Linked DNA regions of Rhinolophus ferrumequinum. The protein of the gene in region 3 purifies or fractionates together with the protein of the main gene of each other region. This does not show direct contact. Links are inferred from orthologs where the notes say so. Each region holds a gene or a part of one and is shown on either strand. Other genes may lie near its edges.

Region 1 (7,630 bases), on a different chromosome or scaffold from region 3:
GTGAAGACGTGGAGGCTCCCATAGTAGTCGTCGGCAAAGGGCTCTTGGCCCTGGTCCTTGAAGGTGGCCACCATTCCCTCACTGCTCTGGATGTCCACATCGTAGGCGTAGAAGTAGTCCCCCTTGCGGGTGCCACAGAAATACAAGCCTGAGTCCTCGGGCTGGGCCCGGAAAACCAATAGGCTGAACATGCGAATGCTGAAGCGGACCAGCATGTCACTGCCCACCCGGACCTGGGCCGCCTCGGTCAGAACGCGCCCATCAAAATCCGTCAGCACTTTGGTGTGGCTGCTACCGAGATGCTTTTGATAGTACCAGACTACCGCAGACACCTCCTCGGGCTTGCAGTGGCAGGGCAGCTCGAAGCTCATGTCGGCCAGGTAGGCTGCATTGTCGAACATCAGGAAAGCGGGGCAAGGGGTCCTCTGAAAAATATTCTCCTTCTCCACGATTTCAAAGGCCTGGAGACTCCCCCACGCCCACAGCAGCACAGTGGTGTGGGCCAGATTCATGCGTGCACGAGGGAAGGCTCAGAGTGGGTAGGGCAAAACCAAGGCACTCAAGGCGTATGGGGGCTTCTAGAAATGACTGCCAGAGGAGGCATCTATATTAAGAAAAGATTAAGCCGCCAAGAAAAGCAACCATCTGCAGGGGAAGTGGCCAAAGGCAAGGCAACCGATTCCCAGCTGATGTACGAGATGCCCTTCTAATGTGACAGATGTGATCTCAAGGGAAAACCATTCTAGAACCTGGCCTTCTCTCTCCTTTCTAGAACCCTGACACTCACCCAAGAATGGGTCAGGAGAAACTGGAATGAGAAGCAGGGCGCAGGGGCTAGATGGAAATCTCTGCCTCCCTGCTCCAGGACCTGCCCCGCCTGCCTGGTGGGTAGGTTTTCCCTTTGGGTAATCCCAGAGTTGAAGGAAACCCACCCACCTGCCCATCTGGCCATCTGAAGAAGCCTGGGAGGCTGGCCAGACTTAAATTGATGGCGTGGGGCTTTTCCAGGCTCAATCTGCCCAGGAACTCAGCCCCTGGGATAAAATACCGCGCCTCAGATGAGATAGCATTTGACCGTGACCGTTTGTCAATTAAATGTCCATTCATTGGTTTTAGGTTATAAACAGTCTCGTTAAGAGCTATGGAGGCCAGTGTTTCTTCATCATGGAAGATTAATGATTTTGCTTTTTCGTTTCTTGGGTGGAGGCTGTTAACTGGTGTGGCCAGCATTTGGTTGGGCACGTGCCCATCTCTCAGGGCTATGGGCCACGGCCTTGGCAAACACTAAGGGCAGGAAGCAAAGCTCTTTTAATTTCCTGGGCCCTTGACCATCCTGTGGACCCACACAATTTAGAGTATCGAGCCACCGAGGGGCTGCAGAAGAGGGAAAGATTGAATTCGGGCTTTTACTCTGAAAATTCCAGGTTGAAAGGGAATTAGGTGTGGACTTCTTACTACAGTCCTGCAGAACCCCAAGACAACAATCAAAAAATGCCTCCAGCGACCACTGGGGACCTCTGAAGGTAACTGGTCCTATCAATCCACCTGGTACAGCCCTAGCAGCTCTTGCAGGAGCCTCTCCTCCTCCTGGAGCCCACCAGGCTGCTCCAGACCCCGCTCCTCCGGGCTGAGCCCCTCCTTCACGGGCCTGGGGGCGCCCATGGCTTGCAGCTTTTGAAACAAGCTTCTGCAGCTCTGTCTCTCCACCTGGCTCATCAGGCTCAGGTTCAAGGTGAAGCGCCCGGTACCGGCCAGGCTGTGCAGGATCCCTAGCACCAATGACCGGTCAGCCAGCCTCACGTGATCAGCCAGCACCACCAGCATCTCCCCTAGAAGTCCAAATCCCACATCTGTCTGGAAGAGGTGTCCCAGCTTGGGACCCCCGAGCTGTAGCAGTGCCTGGTAGCGCTCTGGCCCACTCCGCAAGTATCGCCGCCAATCACGGTAGAACTCTGCTGAGGTCTCAGGCTGCAACAGTGTTTTCTCCTAGTTCACAAAAGAAGGAAAGGGAATTCAGAGCTCTTCCAGCTGTTCTGCGACAGTAAGAGTGAGGGAAGCCTGTGGGTTTTCACCTTAGCTCTGGTACTGCTCTCTGAGCACTGGGAAGGCTGTGGTGGCTGGGGGACTCATTCTCAGATGAGGGAAACTAGCGGTGGAACAGGGAGAGAGGGTCCCAAAGAACCCAGGCCATGATTTGAGATTCTTAGTTGTACCAGGATTTTCTTACTGATGAATGTGAGAATAAGTCAGGGTTTACTCTGAGCAGGGCCGAAGGGATGACTGAAAACCTCAAGGTGAGTGTTAAGGGTCTGACAGGCTGGGTCGCCCTCCCAACACTGCCACAGGACCATTATACTATATACCATATAACCTGGAGCACCCCAAATCTGATCTGTGCATGCAAGTCAAAGGACTGCCTGGAGGGGACCTGCGTGGCCTGGCCACCTTCCTGACTTGTTCTGCCCAATGTAGCTCAACCCCACCATCTGCTGGGTGCTTTCCTTTCTGGGATTGGAGGCAGAAACCTGCCTCTGTTGGTTTAACATGAGAAATAAGGAAAAGGTACGTGTTGTAAGAGGATAGGACTGGAGGTTTAGGGCAGAGAATTCTGCTGGGCCTCACCGACCTGACAGATCTCAGTGGTTTCATCCAGGGAGGTCCTTCCCTGAGTAGTGTGACAGTTCCAAGGCACGGTCCTCTTTCCTCCTATCTTATCCTTCCGTTCCAGTGGCTTCAGATGTGATGCAAGGACAATACCCCTGTGGACAAAGGACAGAGATTAGGGGATGGACCTAATGGTGTCTGTGGGTGTGAGGTGGCTGGACTTTGCATGATATTGGCTGAATCTGTTGGCAGGCCAGTATGACAATAACAACAACAGCAACAATAGCTGACAGCTTTTAAGCACTTCCCATGTGCCAAACATCGTGCTCAAAAATCTTACATATAATAACTCATTTAATCATAATAATGGTTACTCTCTTTTACAGATAAGGCATAAAGGCACAGAGAGGTTAAATAACTTGCACAAGACCACACAGGTAGCAGAGGGTAGAGCCAGGGCTGAGCTCAGAATTGTCTGACACCAAAGTACGTGCCCTTATCCACTAAAGTCCACCATAATAGGAGCGTCTGAAAAATGGCATTAAGCCAACCTGAATTCTTCATAGGAAGCCACCCTCTGTTCCACTGCCCGTAACTTGGCAGCATTCTCCCGTTTGTACTTCTCATCAGCAGTGAGTGCAGCCTGCAGCTCTTTCTCCAAAGCCTTGAAGTCGATGATGTCATTCCTTTCCATGGCCTGTGCCTGGGAAGGCAAAGGGAATGGACATCAATGGAGGATCAATAATAGGGGGAAGAGTGTGCATCTGGATTCTTTGCCAGGCCACAAAATAACCAAAAACCACTCTGGATATCTTGTCACTTATGTTGGGGGGGGTGTTACAAAAATCTGATTCTCTAGTGAGCGGAGCTGACGTACACAGTGAGAACTTACTTAAGACTTGTTGTCACTCAAAATAGAGTAGAGTCCTGAATTTCAATTTGGAGCCCAATGTTAATTTTGTCCTCTGCCTCTAAAAATATTTTATTATTGGTGCTTCAGCTGAGGAAGCATTTGGATCTCAAAATTCAGTCCCTTCACTCTTCCACATGGTCTCACTCTATAGCAATTATGAAAGAAGACCTCGCACAAAAGCAGAACTATTGTTAGCTACTCTTGAGCCCAGGGATACAATTTCATCCATAATTAAATGTCTTTAATGGGGAAGGATATTTTTCACCCAAGCCAGATGCAAGGACTGAGCAGGAAAACAAGTAGAAGTGGCAGGCGAAGGGGCTGAATGATCCCTGTCCCCAAATCTTTCCATCCAGTCCAGGGCTGGATCACAGGACCCTAGATATTTGGGCGACCTCTTTAGTTCTATCACTGTACTTCTGCAGTCTCCGCGTATCTGAGGCTGATTGACCCGTTTTATAGGGAGATCACCTAAATGGGTTCTAGTCTTGGCTCTGGCGTTTACTTGCTGTGAGACCCCTTTGAACCTCAGACTCCTGGTGCATTGAGCTAGATTTTGTGGTGGAGTCATCAACAGCCTTAGGACAAAGAACCGAGAGGTCTTCAACCAACCCCACAGTCCTCCCCTTCCACCTCAACGTGGGTAAGCTGAACACCAAGAAGTGGGCTGGGCTGGCCAGGAACTGAACTCAAGTGTCCGGCTCCTGTCCAGTTCTGAGCCCTACCCAGTCATTGAATAAATAGAACAACTAAGCCTACCGCCCCTCTGACCTTCACCCCAGCAGCCCTGGCTTTGGTTCCCTTGCTTTCTTTGGGGATCCCCAGATACGCCGGGAACAAGGTAGCTTAGCCTACCACCCGCAGCAGCTGTGGTTGCCCAGCAACTGCTCCAACAGTCTGCCCACGTGATCGACCTGAAGGCCCCCGTTCAGGATGGTCCCGAGGCGCCTGATCAGATTCAAGCCTCCTCAAGCCTCATTCAATTTGGAAAAGCTCACGCCTTGGTTTGAGGATCCACGAGTCCACCTTGCCAGTTCCTGCGTCCGCGGTCGGCATTCCTCCGAGCTGGTCCTCAGGCAGAGGGCTGCCCTCCGCGGCAGAAACGCGACCGCGGCGGCTTCGGGGTCCTTCCGGACAGCGGGCGCAGGCGGCGGCCGTGTGAGGCGGAAGCGCGGGGCAGCGGCCTACCGGGAGCTGCTGGCTGAGCAGGCGGGAGGTGAGCTGGCGTGGGTCAGCGGCGTGGGGAGGTGGCTCCGGGTGGGATGGGAAATTACATAATGTCAGATCTGGAGGATCTGCCCCTTTCACTTTACAGATCGGTAAATTGAGGCGTGGAGCGGGAAAGGGAATGAAACACACCTTCTCCCCAACACACACACACTCAGATCCCGAGGTTCCCTCAGTGTAGTCCATCCGTAAAATCCCTTACGTGGGCAGGGGTCGTTCTCACTGTTCAGCCCCCCTCTTTCACTCCCTCTTCCATCCGTGCCTTCTTCACTCCTTTGCCCAGCTCCCTCCGTCCTTATTCTGTATTCCTTTGAGAGCCTGCATTATAGCGGGAAGCCGCAGTGAAGTTTGGTACCGCAAGTCACTAGTTTTGTGCACCTGTGGGCAAGTCAGCCCTCTTCTCTGTGCCTGGCTGGAGTCATTCATTCACTCAACAAATATTGAGGTCCTGTTTGTGCCAGATACCGTTCTAAGTGAAGGAGGGGAAAAAATAAAACAGTCCTCACTTAAATTGTAGTTGGAGAGATGACGTTAAACACATGACTAGGTATATCTCAGGTAGTGATAAATGTTAATAATAACAAAAGAGTAAAGGTGGGAGTTGGAGAGTATGTGTATGGGGGACTCTTTTAGAGTGGCAAGGGAAGGTTTCTCAGAGAAGGTGTCATTTTAGTAGAGACCTGAGTGACATGAAGGAACAAGGTATAAATATCCAAAGCAAGAGCCTTTAAGAAGAGAATAGCAAGTACAATGGCCCTGAAGCAGAAGGAGCTTGGTTTGTCCCCGGAACAGCCTTCTATAAAAATTTCTTCAGTCACTTCATGAGTTTTAGGAGAATGAAATGAGCACAGATGGGACAGCTCTTTGGAAGTAAAAAGAATATGCACGTGAAAGTTTCCATAATAATTTACATTTAATTACCATGTTTTCCCGAAAATAAGACCTAGCCGGACCATTAGCTCTAGTACATCTTTTGGAGCAAAAATTAATATAAGACCTTATGTTACGTATAAGATCTTATATATAAGACTTTATATAATATAAGGTCTTATGTTAGATAAGACCTGGTCTTATTTTACTATAAGCAAATAAGAATATATAGTAAAATAAGACTGGGTCTTATATTAATTTTGGCTCCAGAAAACGCATTAGAGCTGATGGTCCGGCTAGGTCTTATTTTCTGGGAAACACGGTACTAGTCCTTGGAGCTCTTAATTCTCTATTTTATCTACAACCAGCACTCAACAGGTGGCATTGAGGGAGGTGGAGGAATTAACTTAGTGTAAGAAATAACAGTATCTCAAAATTAAACATTGCATTCACTTAACATTTATCCCGTTCCTACTTCCGCAAGGTACGTTGGCCAGTGGGCACACGGAACACAGGATTCCTGTGTTTAAGAATGGCCAAAACATAATGCTAACTAACATTTATTGAGCCTGTGACTCGGATAAATTCTTGACAGAGACTATTTTGTTTAATTCTCACAACCTTTCATGCAACGGGAGTTAGTCACTCCATTTTCCAGTTGAGGAAACAGGTTTAAAGAGGTGAAGTAACTTACCTGAAGATACATAGTTATTAAATGACGAAGTTAGGATTCATATCCAGCTTTTCCCATTCCAGAGCCCAGGCCCTTCACTCGTGCTCAGGTCTGTTGTTTATTACTTGTAAGCTGTAGAGTTGTTGCTGAGGGTAATTGGTACAGGTAACTACCACTCCAAACAATTCAATGCTGATAAAGGTACAGAAGGCTGTAGCGGCATAGGGGAGTGAGAGATTGGGGATCTAGGAAAGCTTGAAGGAGGTGGCATTGGAACTGTGCTTTGAATAGAATTTCAGCAATTGAAGTGGAGAAAACCCACAAAATACTTACTCATTGCAAAGAGAAAACTTCCCAATAGAGTAACTTCCCAATAGAAAAACCTGGCAGACACCGATGTAATCAAATGATTAAATTACCATCACCACTAATGGGACAAATTAAAATCATGTACCATGTGATACTAGGAGATGCACTAAAAAGAACACAGCATCACTTCTGTGATATTTCTGCCAGAAATGCATGACTTGAATCTAATCATGAGGAAGCATCAGACAAACTCAAGGAACATTCTACAAACTCACTAGCCTGTAATCTTCAAAAGGGTCGAGTCATAAAAGTCAAGGAAAGACTGAGGAGCTGTCCCAGAGTGAAAGAAGCTAAAGACGTGACAACTAAATGCAAGCATGCAATCCTGGGTGGGATCCTTTGCTGTGCAGGACATTATTGGAACAGTTTGTGAAGCTTGACTGGGGGTCTGTGGATTAGGTGGTGGTTATGTGTCAATATTAATTTTCTGATTTTGATGGTTGCATTGTGATTATGTAAGAAAGTGTCCTTGTTGGTAGGAATCACACACAATGAAGCAGCGGTTGGCAAACCTTTTCTAAAGTAAATATTTTAGGCTTTCTGGGCCATATGGGCTCAGTTGCAGCTACTCAACTCTGCTGTTACAGTGTGAAAGCCTCCGTAGACAATATAAATGAATGAGCGTGACGGTGTTCCAAACTGACGGTGTTTCAGTTATTGTAGATACTGAAATTTGAATTTCATACAATGGATTGATTTTCACGTATCATGAAAAAAATTTTTCATTTTCCAACTATTTAAAAATGTAAAAGGCATTCTTAGCTTGGGGGCTTATAAAATCAGGCAGCAGGCCAGATTTAGCCACAGGCTATAATTTGCCAACTCCTGCACTAAAGTAGTGGGGTAATGAGGCATTGTGTCAGCCACTTATTCTCAAATAACTTAGGAAAAATAAAGTTATTTTTACTATTTTTGCAACTTTCTGGTATTAAATTATTTTAAAATTAAAAAGTATTATTTAAAAAAGTGGAAGA
Region 2 (7,409 bases), on a different chromosome or scaffold from region 3:
TTGTCCACAGAGCTGTAGTGAAGGAAGTGGATGCCTGGTGGGATCATTTTCACACCCCGGAACTTGGGCCCCACCTCCCAGGAGTTGTAGTCAATGCCAAACTCTGTCCCCTTGGGCATATTCAAGATGACCACAGTGGCCCCTTCAAAGAAGAGGTGCTTGGCAAGTTCAGGATCCATCTGCGTAGCAGCCATGGACCAGTGGTGGGTGACCAAAAGGAGAACCCTTCTTGTCTTTCAGAATAGCTGAAAAAAGAAAGAAATCAGAGTTCATCAGAAGTTGGGGAAGCATACTTCATTTGCTGAGCATTCTCTATGTGTCAGATACTGAATTAGACTCCTGACATAATTATCTCCCAGAAGTTATCTCCTCACACAACCCTACATCAGCTTTATACATGAGAAAAATGAGAAAGAGAGAAGAGGATTTTCGTGTTTTGGTTTAATGAGCAAGAACACTCACTTTATAACTGCAAAGGCATGAAAGAGAAGTGACATGTTCAACGTCACACAAATTAGAACCTGGGTACCCTGCCCTCCAGGCCAGTGTTCTGTTCATTGTCCACTTAGGATCTGCTCTCAGATCACTCTCCCAACAGAAGATGAAGGTGGAGAAAGCCTGGATGGTCCATTCTAACCTATAACTCTGCCTAACCTATTGCTGGAGAAACCCAGGAGTTGAAAAGGATGATTAAATCAAGCATACACCCAGTTTCCCACAAACCTCAGGGAAGGCCCAGAAATGGACAGAGGTGGAAAGTGGATGCTCAGCATCTAAAATTCACACTAGATCGGGGAGGTGAAGAGTCTGTTAACCACAAACCTCCCCTTCTCCTTTTATGCATAAAAACCTAAAGTCCAAGGAGTGAAACAACTTCTCAAAGGGCCTAGTCAGTGGCAGCTCTGGACCACTAGCCCAGAATGGATTCAGGTGGCATGGCTGGCCTAGGACCAGTATTTAGAAGAGAAAGAGCTCAGAACATTTATTTTACCTACCTCTGGACAACCCATGAGGACACACTGTAAAAATTCTGTAGGCAGACAAACACTGCCTGCGTGGTATTTATTTATAAGACTGGTTCCAACATGAACTAACTTAAACCAAACAATCATCTAACCTTCTAGTCCTAAGACACCTACCTATTCAGTTTAACAAATAATCACTAAATGCCTGCACTGTGCCAGGATCTTTACCAGGCACTTAATAAAACATCCAGTGGAAGACGGTCACTGTCCTGTAGGTACTTCCAATCTAGCCAGACATACGAACAAGAGCCCAAAATTTCATAAACAGAAGAACCAACTGCCTGTTTAATTCTCTTTACTTTTTCTTTTAAACAAACAAAACAGTGAGGAACAGAAGACTAACCCTTTTCCAAAAATGTTAAGGGCCTATTTTACCGTCTTAACTTAAAAAACACTACAAATGACTCTCATTCTACATCAGCATTTTTTTTTCAGACTTCATGTCACACCTCATTAATGGGTCAAGAAATCAATTTAGAGAGTCTCAACCAGCATTAATTTTTTTAAAACAAAAAGAACAGAATTTTAAAAAAAATCAAAGCGCAGCGGGTGTAGTATAAATCACTGTTTTTTGAAGCTTTGTGGGTTTGTACGTCCTTTTGGTTGCAACGTAAAGTGTATTTGTTCCCATCGGTCACAGTCAAAAAAGTCTGAAAGTCACTGTTCTAAATAATTTATATATCATCATCTTCCTATTCCCAAACCTGATTTCAAAAGGTACTTAAATAAATATTTGCTAAATGAACAGCTCCTGCTTTTAGAGTAAGTGCTCATCGATTAGCTACTTTCCCTTACAGTAGTGGCACCTGTATGCTCCTCCTTGATAATGACATTCCTCTTGTTCTAATTCCACCAGCCTGTACTAGTCATTATATCTTCAGCAGCTGACACATGTCCTGGCACAGAGAAGCAGCCCTGGAATGCAGAAAGTCACATCTACCCAATTCTCTCCACCACCTCCTTAATCTAAGCTACCACATCCCTCACCCAGAGTGCTTGCCCCTCCAATCCATTCTCCATCCAACAGCCAGAGTGAGCTTTACAAAATGCCAATCTAAGCATGTCACCACCCACACTTAATACCCTGTGAGTGGCTTCCCATGTGGCTCTTGGAGAACCAAAATTCTTACCATGACCTCCAAGGCGTGCATGGTCTGCTTCCTGGCAACTCCTTACGCTTGTTTCAGAACACGATCCCCCACCAAGCCCTCTGTTCCAGTCACATCTTTTTCAGACACTCAAACGGGAGGCTCCTCTGGAGAGAGAACTCTTCGTTCCCCTCTCTGTCAAATCGGTTTTCTGATCTCAATATTCCCTCCTCGGTCAAGCTTCCTTGACGCTGGGCTAGATCAGGTTTCCTGTGTGATCCACTCATGGCGTCTTGTGCCTTTTCATTTCACTTATCAAGGTTGCAATTTTGCCTACATTTAATAGAGGGCTGTCAGTCACCTCCATGAGACCTCAGTCTTTTTGTACCTCTAGCACATATTAGACGCTTTAATAATAAAAACATGATATCCGTTTTGCAGTTGAGAAACAAAGGCTCAGTTCGGAGAAAGACCTTACCTAAGTTACAGAGAATCGGACCGAATCACGTCGGACGTAGCCAATGTGTCGGGCCCCCAAGTTCTAAAGTTAAGAAAAAAGGGAAGTTACGCCGGGTGCTCTAGGAAGTACTGGCGACGGTTTCTCGGGCACAGGCCTGCAGAGACATCGGCGTCCCACCACTGGCCCACAGATCGGGACGCGGCTGTCCCAGCGAGACGCCCTAGTTCAGGGCACTCCGTGATCCGGAGCGGGACAGAGGGGTGGCCCCGCCAAATGACAACGAAGCAGAGGAGTTAAACCACCGCACTCACCAGCCTCGGTCTCACTCCCCGCGCAGACACAGCGGAAACGCCCCGGAAGTTGTACCGCTTAGGCGTAGGACAAGCGCCACGGGAAAAGCGGCCCGGCAGAGCTCTTGGTCACGGAAGGAACGGTCCGCGCCTGCAGATTCCGCCTCATAAAACCTTTTGCTTTTCGTTAACTCGTTTTAGCTCCTGAGCCGTGGATGACAACTTTCGTCAAACTGTGCATTTTTATATCCCGCTCCAGAAACACATCCACCAGCCATGGTCCTTTGATCTCAGTCCTGGTCACTGAAGCTGGGGTCAAGGTCATGGCTGCTCAGTAGCCACAGTCAGATGCTCAGTCATGGTCCTGGTCAGCCAATCTCTACCTGAGTGACAGTGTCACAGCTGGCTTATTATCACCCAGTCTCAGCTTCCAACCACACTCAGGACTAAGAGAGAGCCTTAGAAACCCAGCTCCCAAACTAGAGAGAACCAGTCTCAGCCATAGTAGTCACCGTGTCAATCTCTCCATCCGTAATCACCCAATATCCTCTGGCAGGACAGACCTAGCTGATAACTCAGTCAGGCTATATCGGTGCCCTGAGGGTGGTTACCTGCCTGTCTTGTTCTCTACTGTTTCCCCGGAACCTAGCACAAAATAGGCACAAAGGTTCAGCTCAGTATATATATTATGCATTTAATTAATGACAGTAATTTGGTATTAATAAATGGCTTCTATTTTGGGGCCTCGCCCTGTGCTGAGTGGCTGTACCACTCAGGGTCCAACCAAAGAAGCAGAGCCAATAGGTGATATATATTATGAGACTTATTGCAAGGAATTGACTCATGTGATGGTGAGGGCTGGCTGCGTAAGTCCAAAATCCACAGGGCAGGCCATTCGCATATGATTTCTAAACCTTACAATACCCTAATAAGCAGGTATTAGTATTCCCAACTTACAGAAGAGAAAACTGAGGCTCAGAGAGGTTACACAGTCAGAGTGGTGGAGCTAGGGTGCAAACCCAGGTCTCGTCCTTGTGCTGCTACTCCTTAGCTTGTGTGTCATACTTCCTCAGTGACAGCTGGACACGCCAATCTGTCTCAGTCAAAATTCATCTCTTAGTGGGTATAGACCAGACTGGACCCTGCGGTCATGGTTAATCACAATGAGCTGCTGCAGGATTAACCAGAGATGGCTTCCATTAGTTACAGTCATGGACGCCAATCTCAGCCTGTTGTGTCAGGTCCACTTCCGGCATGAAGAAGCTCAGCTCTCTCCTCGCCCCTCCCTATTCCCAGTCTTAGGTGCTGAGCTCTCTGGTCTGGTTGTCAGACCTCTCTGTTCCAGCCAGGCTCGCCATCATCTCAGAGACTCCAGGGTACTATACTATGGGCATGGAAGCTGTGGATGGTGTCCCGGAAACCCCACTTTGTGGGTCCTATGTCCATCCAGATTAGGTTTCTCAACCTTGGTACTACTGATATTTGGGGCCAGATAATTCTTTGTTATGGGGGTTGTCCTGTGATTGTAGGATGTTTAGCAGCACCCCTGGCCTCTACCCAGCAGATGCCAGTAGCACCCCTCAGTGTGTCAACCAAAAATGTCTCCAGATATTGCTAAATGTTCCCTGGGGGGTAAAACACACACACCCCCACCCATGTTAAGAACCACTGATACAGATGAAACACACAGTTTACTCCCAGGCAGCACAGAGGCTGGCTCTGTATTTATGGGAGAGAGAGATACAGATCCAAGACGTGTGGGGACCCAATGTTTGCAAACCAAATCCTATTGCAGAACCCCAAGTGTGACAGATAGCTAAAGGAAACCTGGGGAAATTCAGAGAAGGAGTAACAAAGCTCCTGGAAGGAATTGCCTTTGGCAAGACAGGAGTCTGTAGAGGGTTGAAGAATTGCTTTTCACTGCATAGCATTCTGTATAATTTAATGAAGAAATAGTATTAGTATTTGAAATTACAGTGAAGTGCTCGGGATTTAAGTTTTAAAAAGTATTTAGAATGGTATGTACAAGGTAACTTCAAATCTGGAAAAAATACTTGGACGTGGAAAAAGTCTGGAAGAAAATGCACCAAATGATTACCGGTGTTCTTGCTTGTGAAATTTTGGGCAATAAAGAAAGGCAGTCTGGTGTGAGTTGCTTAGTGGAATAAAAAGGAAAGTGCTGGTGCGTGCACCTCAGGTAGTCCAAGGGGTGAGTTTAAGTTTTACATGGATTACTTTTAATATTTTTGCATTTCTTTTTATGAAGACCTCCTTTCTTTGGCAAATGACAATAGTTTTCCATTTGTGGAAGTAATATAGTTTCTTTTTTAAATAAACATTTTTTTTTACACAATTTAAAGAAAAATGATAAGTCAGTAACAAGCCAGGTGGCACATATGGGGATACGGCAACACGTGTGAAGGCAGTGGGCCAAGGCTGGAGTTGAGGGAGGGTGGCTGTATACATTATCCGCTAGGCTCCCATGGAGCAGGGGTGCAGGAAGAGCCCCTGCGGTAGGTGCTCTTCTTTCAGGGAGGAGAGAGACTGCTGTTCCTGCACACACCGAGCCCCCGTGTCCTGGGGCACCCCCGCATGCTTACTGTTCCTTCCGCCTAGAAGGCTCTTGCCCAAGTTCTTCACCTTCCTGGATATTTCTCTTCATTCAGCTCACAAATATAACCTCCCTAGGGAGCCTGTAATTGGCCACCTTATTGAAGATGGTCTCCTTCAGTGACCATCCCCCCATGTGCATTTCCTTCCTGGTGCCCATGCCTCACTCGGGTATTGTCTCTGCCTGCCTGTTGTGTTGTCTGTTTCCTCCACCAGCCTCTGGGTTCCTGGAGGACGAGGACTTTGTCTTATTTGCTGTTGCACCTGCAAAGCCTACTGCAAGCACTGGACCACACTGGGAGCTACAAACATTTCTTGAATGAAAGTGTTCTAGGTTGGGATCTCTGCACTCCAGTTTCAGCTCTACTCAAAATGCGAACTTGTACTGGTAGTGAAAGATGGAGAGAGAGAGAGAGAGAGAGAGAGAGAGAGAGAGAGAGAGAGGGGAGGTGTGGGGAGAGAGATGTGCGCCAAGGCAGTTGTGGTTCAGCATCAAACACATTTATTTCACTTTTATTGAGTATACAAGAACAGAGAGCACACGCATACAGCACGGAGCACTGAGGTGGGGGAGCGCGGGGACCAGAGAGGAGAGAGGGGTGTGAATAAAAAGGAACAGGACAGCATCTCAGTTGGTTGGTAAGGAGCTTTTGGAAAAAAAAAAAATTGGAGTGATGTTGCTCATGCAATTTCAGGCCAGTCTTGGAATGTGCTTGCAGGATTCAAAAACTGAGACAGGTCCTGGCACTTCCTGTACCCTCAGATTGAAAAGATTCTGAGAAAGCAAAATAAAATGAAAATCTGTAGGATGGCAGAGGGGGGAAAAGACCCTGGAGAGCATCTGGTTTATCTTCTTCATTTCACAAGTGGGGAAACAGAGGCCCCAGATGAGGCACAGGACTAGCTCAATGTCACAGGGTGAGTTAGGGGCTAAGCCAGAATGGCCGCCCAGAACTCCTGACTGCCCTCTGGGACTTTTTCCACTATGCTACATGGGCTCCTGGGTGGAAAGGCAGCACAGAAAGGATGAGAAATATAAAAAAGAAAAGTAGGTTGAAGACAGACAAGACAAATGTCTATATTCCATGAAGAGGAGGATGGGGAGAAACAGTGTCCTAGATTTCAGTTTTGCAGCTCCCCTCCTCCCTGGTGGCGCTGCCTGCCTCTCCATGGAAGGAAAGTCAGAACATCTGTGGGACGGAGATTGCCACCAACCCTGGCTGGCCCACGAGCTATGCCGGGTCACTTCATCCCTGCACTGAAGCCACACACCCCGGGTCTGCAGGCAGGTGTAGAACCCAGAAAAAAATATTCTCCCTCTGAAGGATGTCCAGTGTGTTCAGATGCCTGGTTCCAGCAAAGACAGGGGTGCCTGAGCCAAATTCTGGGTAGCCCAGAGAGGGTGAAGCCACTCCGGCTCTTGACCCAGAAAGAGTGGAAGCTCTCAGGTTGAGAAGGGCAAGAAGGAGGTTCTGTGGCTTCTTTACCAGGATTGTAAAAAGAACCTGCTGCATAGAAAGTGTGCTGTCACATTTGGGGGGGAGTTGGAGAGGACGACCGACCTGCTGCGGGTAGCGGTGGGGGTGGGGGTGGGGGATGCGGAGACTCTGCCATCTGATGCCCAGGTTCAGGGCTCTCTGCCCTCTCCATCCCATGTGGCCCACAGACGCATACTATCCTTGTCCTGCCTCAGGTGAGCACCAGCTAAACAGCTAAGCATGCAGAGCCTCGGGGTTACTGATCAGCAAGCCTGCGCCCTCTAGAGGACATCCCTGGGCAAAGTCCCAGAATCGGGAGAGAATGTGGAGATGCGCTCAGAGGGGGCAGCCATGGTTGGAGATATAACGCTTGCTCAGGGGCTTCCCAGGGCCCTCCCTCCCCCGCCCCCCCACTCTCTCCTTTAGTCCAAGAAGAGTGCCTGGCATCAGTAGGTACT
Region 3 (7,200 bases):
GCGTCTTTTAAATTAGTGGTCCCCAACATTGGCCCATGGAGCAGTGATGGTCCATGAAATCTTCATCAGCCCATGGAGAGGTAACAAAAACAAAAGTAACGAGTGTTTTCATGAAGCTAAAATTTGCAACTTAAAAGCACCAACTGATGAGATTATGTCCTACACTCTACTGGCATTATTAAACATAAGGTTCTTCGAAGACAAAAAAATAATTGTACCGTATTTCCCCGAAAATAAGACCTAGCCAGACAATCAGCTCTAACGCATTTTTTGGAGCAAAAATTAATATAAGACCCCGTCTTATAGTAAAATAGGACCGGGTCTTATATAATATAATAAACCCGGTCTTATATTAATTTTTGCTCCAAAAGACGCATTAGAGCTGATTGTCTGGCTAAGTTTTATTTTCGGGGAAACATGATAGGTGGTAGTTGTTTAACAACCTTGTTGGCAAAATAAAAAGTGGGTAGTCTGATGTTTATCTGTGCAATGTTTTAGGGAAATATTACTAGTCAAGGAATCTAAAATCTCAAGAACCACTTCTGAAGAACTTTTAGGCATTTTTCAAAGTTTTCCAGCCTCAGATATGGAGGCAAGAAGGGCCAACTTTGATGTCTTTGGATAATTCTAGAAATGTCATCTGTGACTAAATATCTTGGACTGTATCTGGTTGGAGCCCACCCTCAATTGCTCACAGTCAAACAGACTGACACCTACATGTCAGCGTCCTCGTCCCTTCGGTTGGTTTCTGCAGAAAATGACGTCCCCAGGTGGAGGTCTTCCTCTTCACTAATCCTAAAAGGAGAGGAGAGTGAAGTGGGCCTTCGAGTCACAGCTCAGGCTGAGTTTTATGTTATAGCAATAAGACAAATATGCATGTTTTATCATCCTGTTTATAGTGGGAAAAATATATATAGGATACGTAAATAAAATCAATATATGGAAGTGAACTGCTGGCCTCTGGAGATTCCTCTGGGGAATGAACAGATATTTTATTTTTTACTCGTGTATTGTTTGAATGTGCTATTTTTATAATTGTGCTTTTTTATGTTTCCTTAAAAAAGAAAAATGAAACATCCACATGGGTTTGAAAGACAAAAAAACAATGCACCTTTACAAAAAGAGTGTACCCACATCTCTCTATGCTAACTTTTAAAGAGTTTTTGTGTTCTTTCGTTTTGAAACCCTGCACAAAGCACAAAGGATACTTGAAGATGTCCCGCTAAAGCTACTACTGCAGGCCAGCTCTCTGGGGCACACAGACCCTAGCAGGGATACAGGTGAATCTGTATGTCAGTGTGTTCTGCACTTACTTATCTTTGCCCCTTTCCTTCAGTTTCTTCATGTCCACCATACCGCCTGTCTTCATCTGAAAGGGATCATCCTGCAGAACACAAACACAGCTAAGAGGAAACATCTATATATTAGGTTGCTGAAAAAGTAATTGTGGTTTTTGCAGTTATTTTTAACCTTTTAAACCACATTTACTTTTGCACCAACCTAATACTTGGCAGTGGATTTTTTCTTTTTTTAAAGAAAACACCATCACTCATTGAAGAGCATCCACATCTTCCCACTGCTCACGGAGGACCCCACAACTTACCACTAGAGTGGTCTCTTCTTGTACCTTCTCTCCCACCAGCAGGGCCACAGCACTGAGCAAAACCAAAAAGGGAAGGTGGGTAAAAGGGAAGGAATGGCATAGTTTAGAGATGTGGAAGAACGTTTAGAAAGTTTGTAGGTTGCAACATTAGTGCAAGGGTGAGATCTGAGGGATGGGCGCCAAAGCCAGCTGGAAAAGCCTGCAAGAATGAAATAGGGCTCAACAAGCACTTTAGATGCTGGGGGCGGGGTGAAGGGGTACACTTTCCTATAAAGCCATTTGGCATTATCTTGGCTTGGAAACATCAGTTCTAAGATTTTGCCTTCAGGGAAAATAAAGCTAAAGACAAATGCCGGAAGATAGATATTGCAGCCTTATTTGATGAAAGTTTACAACACAACCTACAGGTCCTCAAATAGGGAATGAGCTAAATTATGGGACATGCATTTGGTGGAATGTTATGCTGCCGTTAAAAAGGTTTTTGGGAAAATAATCCACAATGTGAGTGAATGTCCGCAATGTCATAGAGTTGAAAATAGCATATAAGTACCTACTACCCTTTACAAACCAGAGAAAGAATACAGATCGGAAAGAACATTAAATGATAACACTGGTTACCTCTGGGTGGGAGAATTACATTAATAGGTGCTATTTACTGACCCGTTTCTGCACCTTCAGAGCAAACCTGCAGACCACACCGTGCAGGGCATCTCCTGGTTAAATATTTTCAAAGAATGCTAGACCCCTTTCAGGGCAGTGGAAGGTGTACAGTGTGTCAAGAAAAGGGGCTATGTCTGAGGAGGTATGTGTGACAGCGACCGGGGCAGGGGCGTGTCTGTCATCCCTTGCTCCTCCAGGTTCCCCCGCGGTACCCACCTCACCCCGTTGGGCCGCTTCCTCAAGTTCTGCACCTCTCGAGTCTCTTCCAGTTTTAATCTGAAAAAAGGCAATACGCAGGCTGAGAGACCCTCCGCAGAACTCAAGAGTCAAAAAGCAGCTTCGACCCGTGCCCCAAGCCGCTGCTGAGCCGCGGGCACAGTGGTACGGAAGGCGAACCTGCGCCAAGACCCATCAGATCCACTGCCCATCCCGGAGACAACTCTCCTAACTGCGCGGCCTTGGGGGTGGCGACCACATCACTAGGACCCTCAACTTCTCCCGCGACAACAATCCCGGCTCATAGCAAATACGGTCAACGAGGCTCCTGGCCGGTGGTCCCCAAGTCGGCCTCTCTTTTCCTGCCCCGCGGAAACCCCGCCCCAAACGCACCGAACCTCCTCTGAGTCCTGCTCATCTTCCTCCGACTCCGAGTCGGCCCGGCGCCGGCGGAAAGTCTTCCCGGTCACCGGCATGACCGCGCCAGCCCTGCGGTCCAGCCGCTGCGCCGCTGCGCGAAGGCCTAGTATGCTTCCGGCGCGCAGCAGTGCGGTCAGAGCGCCGGCTCCGCCTGGCCCCGCCCCAAGCCCTACCTGGGCCCGCCCCGCCTGGCACCGCCCACCTGGCCACGCCCCCATTGATGGTGTCGGCGTCTTCCGATTGGGAAGCCAAGGAAGAGAAGGCGGGGCACGGCCAAGCCGGCCCCAGGACCCTGCGCGGCGTAGCGGAGGGCGCGTTTGACTGACAGGCTGAGGCGGCGAGGTAGCGACGGCAGGTGAGTTCCTGGCTGCGGCGGGCTGCTTCGGGGGGCCTGGCCTCTCGGAGCAGGGGCGACCCAATCCCTGTTCCGGGCCGGCGGGGGCCTGGCCCTGCCAAGTGCGCTGGACGCCGCGGCTAGGTGAGCGGAGCCCGGGACCCCCCGGACGCTGTCGCCCATTCCCCTCCTCCGTCCAGCGCCCAGGGGGTCCCTTGTGGTCCCGTCGCCCTACTTCGAGCTCCCGGGGGCTCGCTGCTTCTCCGGGACAGGGGCCGCCATGTCCTTTATTTCTGCCAGGGCCTGATCCAGCGTTGAAAGCACGCATGTGGCATTCGGGGCGCTGACTTATATTTCCCCGGGGTCTGGGCCCTGACGTGTTTTTTTCTCTTTAGGGACAAAAAGATGACCACTTATTAGCGGCGGTGAATTAAAGCCCCAGCGCCGACTGCCCCGCTAATAATGACCTCCAGCCACTTCTCCCCGAGGAGAGGCGCGTCTGATCTTTTGAACCCACTCGGGAGGGTTTTGAGGACAGAGGGCCCCTCCTCGGGTGCTTGCCGGCCGTCTCTCTGGACCTTCGGGGGCCTTGTTTTCGTCCTTTGTCACGCAGACTATCGCTCTACCTTTTGCCCCTTTTACCCCAGGGATGCTGTGAGGATTCAGTTTATTTGAAAAAAGGGCATAAACAAACGCTTAGGAAATAACTCCAGGCATAAATAGTGGCTTTGCTTTCCTCAATCTCGGCTGGTCCTTTCCTTTGACAAAGAATTAGCTGTTATTAAGCACTTACTCTGTGGCAGGTACTGGGCTAAGCATTATCTCATTGAACTCTCCCAACAATCCTATGAAGTAGATTCAGTTATTTTTCACTTTGCAAATGAGGATACCGGGCTTCAAAGAGGCACGTTTTGCAGTGCCTGGCACAGTAAGAGTTCAGTAAATGTTTGCTGAAGCTGCTGTTATTATAGCTCTTTGGCTGAGGGGAGGTACTGGTGGAGACTGTTTGGGGTTCCCTCTTTGGGAAGACCATTCGGAAGCTGGGCAGCATTTATGGAATGCCTTACTTTTCTCTGGAACAGTCTCCTCTGAGGTTGTTGTTCTCTCCCTTGGACTGAGACAAATAGTAGACTCAGGACTTCTTGGAACCTTTTGGCTTTGGTCAAAAGCTGCTCAGTAGCTGCTGTGTGACCTCCAGCCAGTTACACCACCTCTCTGAGCCTCAGTCTTTCCTCTTTTCGTGGTGGAGGTGGAAATGGGTTTAGCTCCCAATGTGGCCATCCCCCAGGGTGGTTATGAGGATTTAGTGAGTTCTCTTAATATCAGTTCCAGGATGCAGGGGCCATTTGGGTGGAGGCAAGGTGGGGAAGGCAAATGAGGAGAACTGGAGATGCGTGGGAAGCAGGACTTGCCAAGGCAGGAGGTGCCTGAGGGTTCTCCTTTGAGAATCAGAAGGATGGTGGACCCTCAGTGAATTAAGACTGGGTTAAAAGAAGGAATGTATTTGGGATTTAGGGAAAATGGAGCTGCGTGGAAGTCTACTGGAGAGAAGAGGGCAGGAGGGAGGGAAAGGGTACATGTTCTGAGGGGCAGAGGGGTGTGGGCGCGGGTGTGTGGGGTGTGGCAGGGCTCATGTGGTGAGGATCAGGGCAGGTGGGTGTCCTTATGTTAATGGGGGGTGTGGCAGTGTCACCTTTCCTGTCCAGAGGAAATTGGCTCCTGGCTGGGAGGACGATGGAGCCAGAACCTCCAGGAAAATGATGAGTAATGGGCACCTGAGGCCTGGTCTCAGCAGCTGGTGCCAGGCCCGGATATGCTGCCTGCCTGCCGCGTCCCTCGGGAGGCACTTTCCTCCTCACTCAGTGAAAGCCCCAGGGAGGGAAAAGTGCCTGTCCTTATTCCGGATGAAGCATCTTGGAAGCCTCACCCGGTCCTTGAATGCACGGGCTCTTTGCCAGACCTGCCATCCTGCCTCCTTTCCTCCTGCTTGTTCATCCCCAAGAGAGGAGGCGGGTCTGGTGGGTCAGGAGGGAGATGTGCTCTGGGATGGGTGTGGAAAAAGCCTAACTCCTTTGGCTGGCGATTTGGGCACCAGCTGTGGGGCGGGCACCGCACAGACTCCCGACAGCACAGTCATCCAGCTGCTCTCGAGAGGTCCTGTTCCCAGCATCCGGTTCTCTGAGGAGTGCAGGTTTCTTCCCCTTTCAGTCTTATGAAACGCCTACTATGTGCACTCCATTTATTTGCACAGAGGGAAGGTTGGGAAGGGCTATGAACGCAGATACACCTGGCTTACTTCTAGCTGTGTCCCTTTCTGTGTGGCTTCCCATCTCGGAGCCTCCATCCTTCCTCTCTAAGATAAGAAATAGTGGTCCTTACCTGAGTGTAGGGGGACCACTGGGCATAGTGCCTGGCTCAGAGTAGGCGCTGGATCCTGGAGCTCTGTTGTGGAGTTAGGGTTACCTTTTCCAAAAGACCCCCTCCCTGCTTCCACCTGAAACAAGAGGAAGGGAATCTTTAAAAAGTTTCTATTTAAAACAAAACAAGGGGGCCAGCCTGGTGGCTCAGGTTGTTGGAGCGCCGTGCTCCTAAGCTGCAGTGGATGGTTCGATTCCCACATGGGCCAGTGAGCTGCGCCCTCTACAGCTAAGATTGTGAACAACGGCTCTCCCTGTACCTGGGCTGCCACGAGCAAGAGGTCCTTGCCATCTGCTATGGGCTGCCCTGGGCTACCATGAGTGGCCGGCGGCCAGCATGAGTGGCTGGTGGCCGGCAGACGGGGAGAGGTGACCGGCGGCCGACTGCATCAGCGGAGGGCGGAGGGGAGCGCAAAGCTTTTAATACCAGCATGTCCCAGGGAGCTGTGTCCTACACACCTAGACTGAGAAACGATGGCTTGAACCAGAGTGTGTGTGTGTGGGGGGGAGGTGAAAGAAGGGGGGGAAAATAAGAAAATAAAAAATAAAACAAAAAAAATCAAACTTACAAGAATAATAATGAAATCCCATTCATACGAGTCACCAATTATTATTTTTGCCGTTTACTCTTCCTATATTTATATGCTCAGAATCATCATCATTATTGCTGATCCATTTAAAAGTAAGTTGCAGATATCATGACCCTTTCCATCTAAATATTTCAGGTGGAATAATCCAAGAACAAGGATATTATAATACACAACCAGAAAACAATTTTCATCTTCAGAAACTTGAATGTTGATATAATACTGTATTCGTGTGCTGGAGCAGTCATAACAAAGTCCCACAGACTGGGTGGCTTAAACATCAGAAATGTATTTTCTCAAAGTTCTGGGGGCTGGAAGTCCAAGGTCAAGGGGTGAACAGATTTGGTTTCTTCTGAGGCCTCTCTCCTGGGCTTGCAGTCAGCTGCCTTCTTGCTGTGTCCTCACGTGGTTTTTCCTCTGTGCATCCTCATGCCTCCTGTGTGTCTAACTTTACTCCTCTTACTATAAGGATATCAGTCAGACTGCATCAAGGTCCACCCTAAAGACTCATTTGAACTTAATTCTTTAAAGACCTTATCTCCAAATAAGATTACATGCTGAGGTATTGAGGGGTAAGGACGTCGTCAACATATACATTTGGGGGAGGGGACACAATTCAGTCCCTAACAAATACTATCTAATATCTAGTCCATATTCAGATTTGTCTGCTGTCCCACTAATGCCCCTTTTTCCCGTTGATCCAGGATCCAAGTTTGTCATATCTCTTGAGTGCCTTTTATCTGAAACAGCTTCTCATCTTGTACTGAGAAAGAAGCAAGTTGCTGGCAGCAGAGGTGCTGGCTGCCTCAGGACAGGAAAGCTGTGTAAGGATTTGCTTCGTGTCCTGGGGCCACTTTCCCTGGTTTTACATTGATGTCAGAAGTACCAGGAGGTGAGCTTGGATCTCAGAAAGTAGCACTGTGAATCAGAACTACCATGCATCAGTCGCCTGCTGTGTGTCAC
Region 4 (7,159 bases), on a different chromosome or scaffold from region 3:
TAGGGTACAAAATCAAAGACGAGCAGACCAGTTGAAGAGTTTGGAAGTTACAATGGATCTTAAGGATCGAGAGTAGATTTTATTCAAGCCAAGATGCCTAAAATCCCTACTCTCTCCAACTTACTGTAGGTTGATATCTCGAACAAGAGGTTCAAATTTGGGGCCTCCAGGAATGGCCATATTGAGTGCCTTGGACGTAAAGAAGGCCTTCAGATCAAACAAATAGAAGTAGTTGTCATCTACCAAGTCTGTCAGGAGCTGATTGGCCAGGCGGTAGAGAGTAGACATCATGGGCAGTGTGAACTGCCAGCGCTGGTAAGTAGAGCCATTCACATACCTAAGGGAAAAAAGACAGGCCCACGTCAGACAGGTATACCAGCTAGCCAAGCCACACTACCAACTGCTCTCTCAAGACCCCTGGACTTCCAAACCTCTCACAAGAGTGGTAATTACTCCAACCACACTTACTTCCTGCTATCCCTCAATGGCTGGTGGTCATAGAACCAGTCCAACACCGGGGCGTCCTCCTCAGGGTCCAGCTCTAGCTGAATGGCCTCCAGCGGCTCAACATCTAGGATGTTGTCAGCATAGTCCAAAGGTGGCTCCTCATCATCAAAAGGGGGAAAACGCATCCTCTTGAAATGCCTCCTGTCTCTTTTTTCTCGCCGCATCATAATCCACATTGACCTGGAAGCCAACAATGTCACACAACGGTTTCTACCCAATGCCTCCCAACCACCACCACCACCACCACACGCCGTATTCCGGCCCTTCTCACCCCCACTGGGAGATGTAGACAGGTTCAATGACCCAAGGAATCTCATTGACAAAGGAGATGGCTCCAGTGATGTGGTATAGTACAGGCACATCCCGAATCTGCTCCCAAGGCATAGGCATGTTCTCCAGGAGTTTGAGGACTGCATGGGGCATGTACTTTAAGGCACTGCAGCATTAGGAAGAGATGATTAGAAATCACAAGATGTTCTGTTACCTGTTCCACGAAGAGACGCAACATGGTATCACAGTATCATATCCCACAGAAAATTCTGCCTTACAGTCCAACTCCCAAATTTAGCACACAGGCCCTCCATGACCAGGAACTCTGCCCCCACCGCAACTATGCCAGTTTTAAACTTCACAGTCCCACAATACTGGGTTTCAGTCCCTCTAAATCTACAGCTCTCCCTCTAAAGGCAGCTTTTAAGCTGTCTCATTTTCTATTCTCTCTGTACTTTCCCATAAATAATAAAGTATTCAGATACTTTACTGTAACCGTTTGTCTCATGTCTGTCATGCCACTAGACTATAAGCTCCAGAAAGACTACCACTTCCTGTTCCCTGCTAGGTGCTCCCTTGCACCTAGCAGTTCTCAAGAAATAGTTCTGAAATAAACAAAACTTCCATGGCTGTCTTAGACTAGTTCATTAAGTAGCTAACATTTTTATGTCCAAATGGGAAAGGGATTTGCTACGGCATTTGTACTCACCCAGCTCAGACCACAGACAAACAAGAGTATAGAGACCGCAGGAGTTAACTATTCCCAAACCTGAGAATTCTGGTCACTGAGGAGTGAGAGGCAAGAAGAATGCACAAAGTGTCCTGTTCTGGGCTTCAACCCATTCAAAGACAGGGACATCTTAGCATAGTACCAACAGCACAAATTAAAGCTCCAGTCCCAGATCAGGAAGTAAAATCTGGACCATAATTGGAAGATCTGGAAACTATCACAGGATCCTAGTGGTTTCCTCTCTTCTAATCATCAAGACAGGCTGTACTAGAAGATTAACGTCCCAAATGATAGAGCAGCTATCCAGGACTACAACTTATAGGACAGAGAGAAGGGAAAGGGGCCAGACTCCAAAAAAAAAAATTCCAGGATGTTCTTTACCCCAAGTAGACCCTTTTGTCATGGCGAAACTTCCTGTTGGTCATGTCTCCATGGTCTCGAATAATCTTCCTGACATGTTCTGGGGGCATGTCTTCCTTCTGAGCATCCACAAATCCAAACTTCCGCTTTTCCGCATAGCGCTTGGCCTGTAATTGCTGCCATTTTCGGGCTACAAAGATACCTCAGTTTAAGGGACTGAACTCAGGTAAGGGACCCTTAGCCTACTCCTCCCCACCTCTTGCCCTAGGGTAGGCTCCCGTCAGGATGTATGAAAAAGAGGCCAGCATCCAGAAAGAGATTCCCAGCCAATTCTCTCATCAACTCGCTCTGCTTTATTTTTTCCTTCATCACGTTATCACTGCCTAGCATTTCTATTACAGATTTTTAAGTTTTTTATTTTCTATTTTCTTCATTGCAATTTAAATTCTGTAAGGGCAGGGATTCTGTCTGCATCGCTACTGTTATCTCCGTTGTTTGGATCAGTGCCTGCAAATAACAGACGCTCTTCAAGACCCGATCAGGTGAAAAAATAAATGGGGAGGGGGCTAAGAACCGCGCTAACGCCTAATGTTTTGACACCTGCCAAAACAAAGGGAAAGGGTTCAAACCCGATGCGCACGCGCGCACACCCGTCCCTACATCTCCGGGCCCGTAGGCACCGCTCCCGCATGCGTTCTTCACCTTTTTCCTGCAGCTTCTCCTCCGACATGTAGTCCGGCAGCGGGGCTAGAGGGCCGGGTACCGGGTTACCCGGCCCTCTGTAAGGAAAAACTCCGGCCATGTCCGGAGAATCTGGGGGGCGGCGGAAGAAAAAAATTAAGGAGTAACAGGGCCGGGGCCTACAAGAGGCGCAGCAGGAACGCGTCGATACCCGCGGCCTGCAGTACCGCCTCGCTCAGAGTAGGCACGGCCCGGCCCAATCCCTCCCGCCGCTCAGCCTGACCCCACCACGCCTCCCGCAGCCAGCCCTTAAAGCCCGCTACGCACCCCTACAGCCCCCCAAACTCGCAGCCCGCCGCTCGCTGGCACCGCAATGGCGGCAAGCCTACGTCCGCTTCGCGTTCCCAACGCCGGGAAGTGCGCAACCCGGGTTCAGTAGTTGACCCAATAGGCGCCGAGGTCCTCAGACAAGTTAGAGAACTCACCAATTAGAGTTGCATATCGGGCCGGAGGGGGCGGGCCCATGGGCGGAATTATTAGAATGCGAGGGGGTGTGGTCGGAGCAGGCGCAAGCCCCGCCTCCCGCGTTTCTGAGCCTGCTTCTGGGCCCTTTCATAAAGCCTCGCGGTCTTATCCGCGACTGTCCTCTGATCGTGAGAAACCCAAGCTTCCAGAGTTTTAATAAATTTGTCAAAATCTGCACATTATTCTGTGTCTAGTCTCATAAATGTAGACTTGAGATGCAGTACTAGCTCCAAGTCATCCAGTCCTTTGTTCATTCATTCATTCAACCATCATATATTGAGTACCCACTATGTATTAGTGGGAATATAGCAAAGAAAAAGCCAACCTCACTGAGTTCACAGGGTAGCAGGGATGCAAACAAGAACCCAGGTTCTTAAGATGTGTTGTGATCGGAGTTCGGGAGCAGAACATTTAATCCTGCCTGCCAACATAGAAAAATAAAAGGTCTTGGGGAACAACATTTCTGGGTGTCTTTTCCCTTCCCTCTCCAGTCCTCTTTTCTCTCTTTGGCAATGATTACACTATGGAGTTTATATTGGACAGCCTATAAATGCTTCTTGAGTCCCTCAGGCTCTGCCTGAATTGCTCTCCATCTCCTACAATCCTCCTACCATCCTTGTTTTACTTCCCATCCCTCTTTTTTTTTTAAGATTTTTTTTTCTTTAATTGGGGAAGGGGAACAGGACTTTATTGAGGAACAGCGTGTACTTCCAGGACTTTTTCCAAGTCAAGTTGTTGTCCTTTCAATCTTAGTTGTGGAGGGTGCAGCTCAGCTCCAGGTCCAGTTGCTGTTGTTACTTGCCGGAGTGGAGGAGTCGAACCAGCAATCTTGTGGTTGAGAGCCCTTGTTCCAACCAACTGAGCCATCTGGCCACCAGGGAGGTGACCGGCAGCTCACTGACTTCATTCTAAATGCAGAGGACGCAGCTCGCTGGCCCATGTAGGAATCCAACTGGCAGCCCCCTGGCCCACAGCTGACATTCTAACCAACTGAGCCACCCGTCTGCCCTCCCATCTCTCTTGCTCCATCCTTTGGTAACAACTTTCAATCTGACTTAACACATAAATTTGTTTGAATCACACCAAGTTTATTGTGGAGAATGCAGAGGAATTGTAACCAATACAGCCTCTCAATCTTGTTGGGAATTTGGGAGTCAAAGGTAAAATAGAGAAAAATACAAAGGAAGATTCCAGACAAGTTTTGGCTGGTGTGGAGGTTCATACAGTTCAAAGAAGGGAGAGGAGCATTATGAAAGGTTTGATGGCAATGGGTAGATTTGAAGGATTGGATGGGGTAGAGAAAGAGGAAGGAAAAAGGAATCCCAGGTAGTAGAAACTGCTAGAATTAGCATTTAGAAAGAGGCACAAACATGGCATGCTCTGAAAAGAGCTTCAACCTGGCTGCAGTAGAAAGTTCAGCAGCATCATCGTGTTCATCATTGTTACTGTAGTGAAGTCTTTACCACCTGTAGAAGGTTCACTATGTACCAGTTATTGTTTTAAACCCTGGTAAAATCCTAATACTGTCTATAGTTTCATTAACACTATTGTACTGCTAATGTCAATTTGTAATCATGCCAATAGTAATGTCGATTTCCTGGTCTTGATTGTCCTACTATTGTTATGTAGGAACTTCTCAAGTGGGCAAAGAGTACACAAGAACTCTCTGTACTATTTTCGAAACAGCCTTATTGAAATATAATTGGCATTCCATAAAGTGCACCTGTTTAAAGTACACAATCCAATGATTTTTAGTATGTTTACAGAGTTGTGCAATTATCATCACTATCTAGTTCCAGAACATTCTCATCATCCCTAAAAGAAACGATGTAACCATTAGCACTCACTCCCCATATCCTCCTACTTCCTCCTCCTCAGCTCTAGGCAACCACTAATCTATTTTCTGTCTCGATAGGTCTTCCTGATCTGGACATTTCATATAAATGGCATCATAGAATAGTGGTCTTTTCTGACTGGCTTTTTTTTACTTAGTATAATGTTCTTGAAGTTCATCCTTGTGTAGTATATATACTCATATAACTTTTTTGGAGAAATGTCTTTCCAGATCCCTTACTCATTTTAAAATTGAGTTGTTTTTTTAAATTATTGAGTTGTAGGAGTTCTTTATATATTCTAGATACAAGTCCCCTGTCATACATATGATATGGAAATGTGTTCTCCCATTCTTTGAGTTATCTTTTCACTTTGTTGACGGTGTTCTTTGAAAGACAAAAGTTTTTAATTTGTATAAAGCCCAACTTTTTTTTTTAATTTATTGGGGTGACAATTGTTAGCAAAATTACATAGATTTCAGGTGTACAATTCTGTATTACATCATCTATAAATCCCATTGTGTGTTCACCACCCAGAGACAGTTCTCCTTCCAACACCATATATTTGAAGCCCAACTTTTAAAATTTTCTCTTCTATTGTTTATGATTTTAGTGTCAAATCTTAGAAATCATTGCTTAATCCAAGTCACAAAGACACAATCCTATGTTTTCTTCTAAGAGTTTTATAGTTTTAGCTCCTACACGTAGGTCTATGATTCACCTTGAGTTAATTTTTGTACATGATATGAGATAGGGGTCCAAATACTTTCTTTTGCATGGGGATATTCAGTTGTCCTAGCATCATTTATTAAAAAGACTATTGTTTCCCCCTTTGAATTGTCTTGGCTCCTTTGTCAAAAAATAAACTGACCATTTGTTTCTGGACTCTCAATTCTATCCCATTGATCTATAGGTTTATCTTTATGCTATCTGTGCTATTTTGTAACTTTCATGTGAGCCTAAAATTATTTCACAATAAAAAGTTAATAAATAAATAAGCAATCAAAGCAATCTAACAAGAGAGTTATTATTATTACGATCCCCATTTTACTGATGAGAAACCCAGGCTCAGAAAGGTGGAGTAACCTGCCTTGGGTCACATGATTAATTGCATGACACATGTGTCAGGTTCTGTCTAACAACTTTATATGTATTAGTTCATTTAATTGTCACAATGATCCAATGAGGTAGGTGTTATTGTTAGCCTCACTTTATAGGTAAAAAAACTGAAGCTCAGAGAAATTGAGCCACTTGCTCAAAGCCCCACAGACAGTAAATACTGGAAACAGTAAAAAATGGCTCTGGAGCTTATGTTTTTAACCATACTGCCATATCATCTTCTATGTTCATGCTAAGAAGCATAGATAATGTTGGATGGCAAAATTTCAGCCAAATTAAAGCTGGTCTTGAATTCCAAGCAGAATTTTGATATTTTGCCAATGATTTGACCTACTTGACAATGATTTCCAAGCTTTTTCTTTTATAGCTAGGAAACACATGTGCAAATGAAATAATTTACAAATCAAGAAACTAAAACTTAAAGAAATTAAGTACTTCTCTTAATGTCTCTTAACTGGTCAAACACAGTCTGTCTGAGTTAGTCTGACGAAGCTCAATTGAGGAGGAAAAGTGACCAAGCCAGGAAAATATCTGAACAGAAAACATTAACTGCCATTATTATGGACCATTCACTGCAGTCAAACCAGTCTCCTCATTGTTCGAGGAGTTTAAAACTGAATGTGGAGGTGACTGCAGGTCATAAAAATGAAGGAGTCCTCTGGCTAGAAATACAGAAGTGGCAGTCTAGGAGCTGAGATGAGGGCTTGAAGCATCAGACTAAATTTGATACTAAAGCCATGAGAAAGAGTCAGTTCACAGAAGAAGAATAACAGAAAAGCAGATGAGGAAGGCTTGAGATACACACAGTCTAGGATAAGAGGATGCCAGAAAAAGCCAGAGCAAGAACAGCTGGAAAGGTCAGGAGAGGCCCACAGGGAGGAAGAGCTTCAAGAAAAGGAAGCTTATCCAGATAATAGCAAGGAACAGAAAACAAAGATTGAGAGAGAAAGGAAAGAAAAGCCCTCTGCCATGTTAGATAATTCAAGGGGTAGAGGAAGACTAAGACCACAAGCTTGACTAGGAAGAATTCTGTGACTTAGGAGAGCAGTTTCAGAAAGCTAATGGCAGAGGAAGTTTCCTGGTTGCCAAGGAAGATCATGAGGAAACAGAAGCGATGGGAATTGACCAATCCTTT

The links.
Region 1: the proteins of C12H9orf78 (region 3) and EFTUD2 purify together in Homo sapiens (affinity purification with mass spectrometry; 3 studies listed by BioGRID and IntAct, with this or other methods). This does not show direct contact. The link is inferred for Rhinolophus ferrumequinum from reciprocal best matches to the Homo sapiens genes C9orf78 and EFTUD2.
Region 2: the proteins of C12H9orf78 (region 3) and AAR2 purify together in Homo sapiens (affinity purification with mass spectrometry; 3 studies listed by BioGRID and IntAct, with this or other methods). This does not show direct contact. The link is inferred for Rhinolophus ferrumequinum from reciprocal best matches to the Homo sapiens genes C9orf78 and AAR2.
Region 4: the proteins of C12H9orf78 (region 3) and PRPF8 purify together in Homo sapiens (affinity purification with mass spectrometry; 4 studies listed by BioGRID and IntAct, with this or other methods). This does not show direct contact. The link is inferred for Rhinolophus ferrumequinum from reciprocal best matches to the Homo sapiens genes C9orf78 and PRPF8.

What each region holds. Positions count from the first base shown.
Region 1 is NC_046304.1:39,769,652-39,777,281, reverse strand, and holds the start of EFTUD2 (116 kDa U5 small nuclear ribonucleoprotein component), read left to right. Parts: upstream 1-4,612; 5' UTR 4,613-4,733; intron 4,734-7,630. Other genes in the region: Ig-like V-type domain-containing protein FAM187A, read right to left, coding at 1-512; CCDC103 (coiled-coil domain-containing protein 103), read right to left, coding at 1,537-1,986, 2,627-2,759, 3,156-3,298. UniProt on the Homo sapiens protein: Required for pre-mRNA splicing as component of the spliceosome, including pre-catalytic, catalytic and post-catalytic spliceosomal complexes. Component of the U5 snRNP and the U4/U6-U5 tri-snRNP complex, a building block of the spliceosome.
Region 2 is NC_046306.1:19,429,961-19,437,369, forward strand, and holds the start of AAR2 (protein AAR2 homolog), read right to left. Parts: upstream 3,021-7,409; 5' UTR 2,885-3,020; exon of another isoform or gene 2,592-2,884; intron 2,447-2,591; exon of another isoform or gene 2,156-2,446; intron 246-2,155; 5' UTR 195-245; coding exon 1-194. UniProt on the Homo sapiens protein: Component of the U5 snRNP complex that is required for spliceosome assembly and for pre-mRNA splicing.
Region 3 is NC_046295.1:78,220,626-78,227,825, forward strand, and holds the start of C12H9orf78 (splicing factor C9orf78 homolog), read right to left. Parts: upstream 3,010-7,200; 5' UTR 2,956-3,009; coding exon 2,873-2,955; intron 2,540-2,872; coding exon 2,480-2,539; intron 1,656-2,479; coding exon 1,604-1,655; intron 1,385-1,603; coding exon 1,314-1,384; intron 796-1,313; coding exon 718-795; intron 1-717. UniProt on the Homo sapiens protein: Plays a role in pre-mRNA splicing by promoting usage of the upstream 3'-splice site at alternative NAGNAG splice sites; these are sites featuring alternative acceptor motifs separated by only a few nucleotides. May also modulate exon inclusion events.
Region 4 is NC_046304.1:16,246,116-16,253,274, reverse strand, and holds the start of PRPF8 (pre-mRNA-processing-splicing factor 8), read right to left. Parts: upstream 3,006-7,159; 5' UTR 2,876-3,005; intron 2,681-2,875; 5' UTR 2,670-2,680; coding exon 2,570-2,669; intron 2,058-2,569; coding exon 1,889-2,057; intron 944-1,888; coding exon 779-943; intron 688-778; coding exon 469-687; intron 338-468; coding exon 125-337; intron 1-124. UniProt on the Homo sapiens protein: Plays a role in pre-mRNA splicing as core component of precatalytic, catalytic and postcatalytic spliceosomal complexes, both of the predominant U2-type spliceosome and the minor U12-type spliceosome.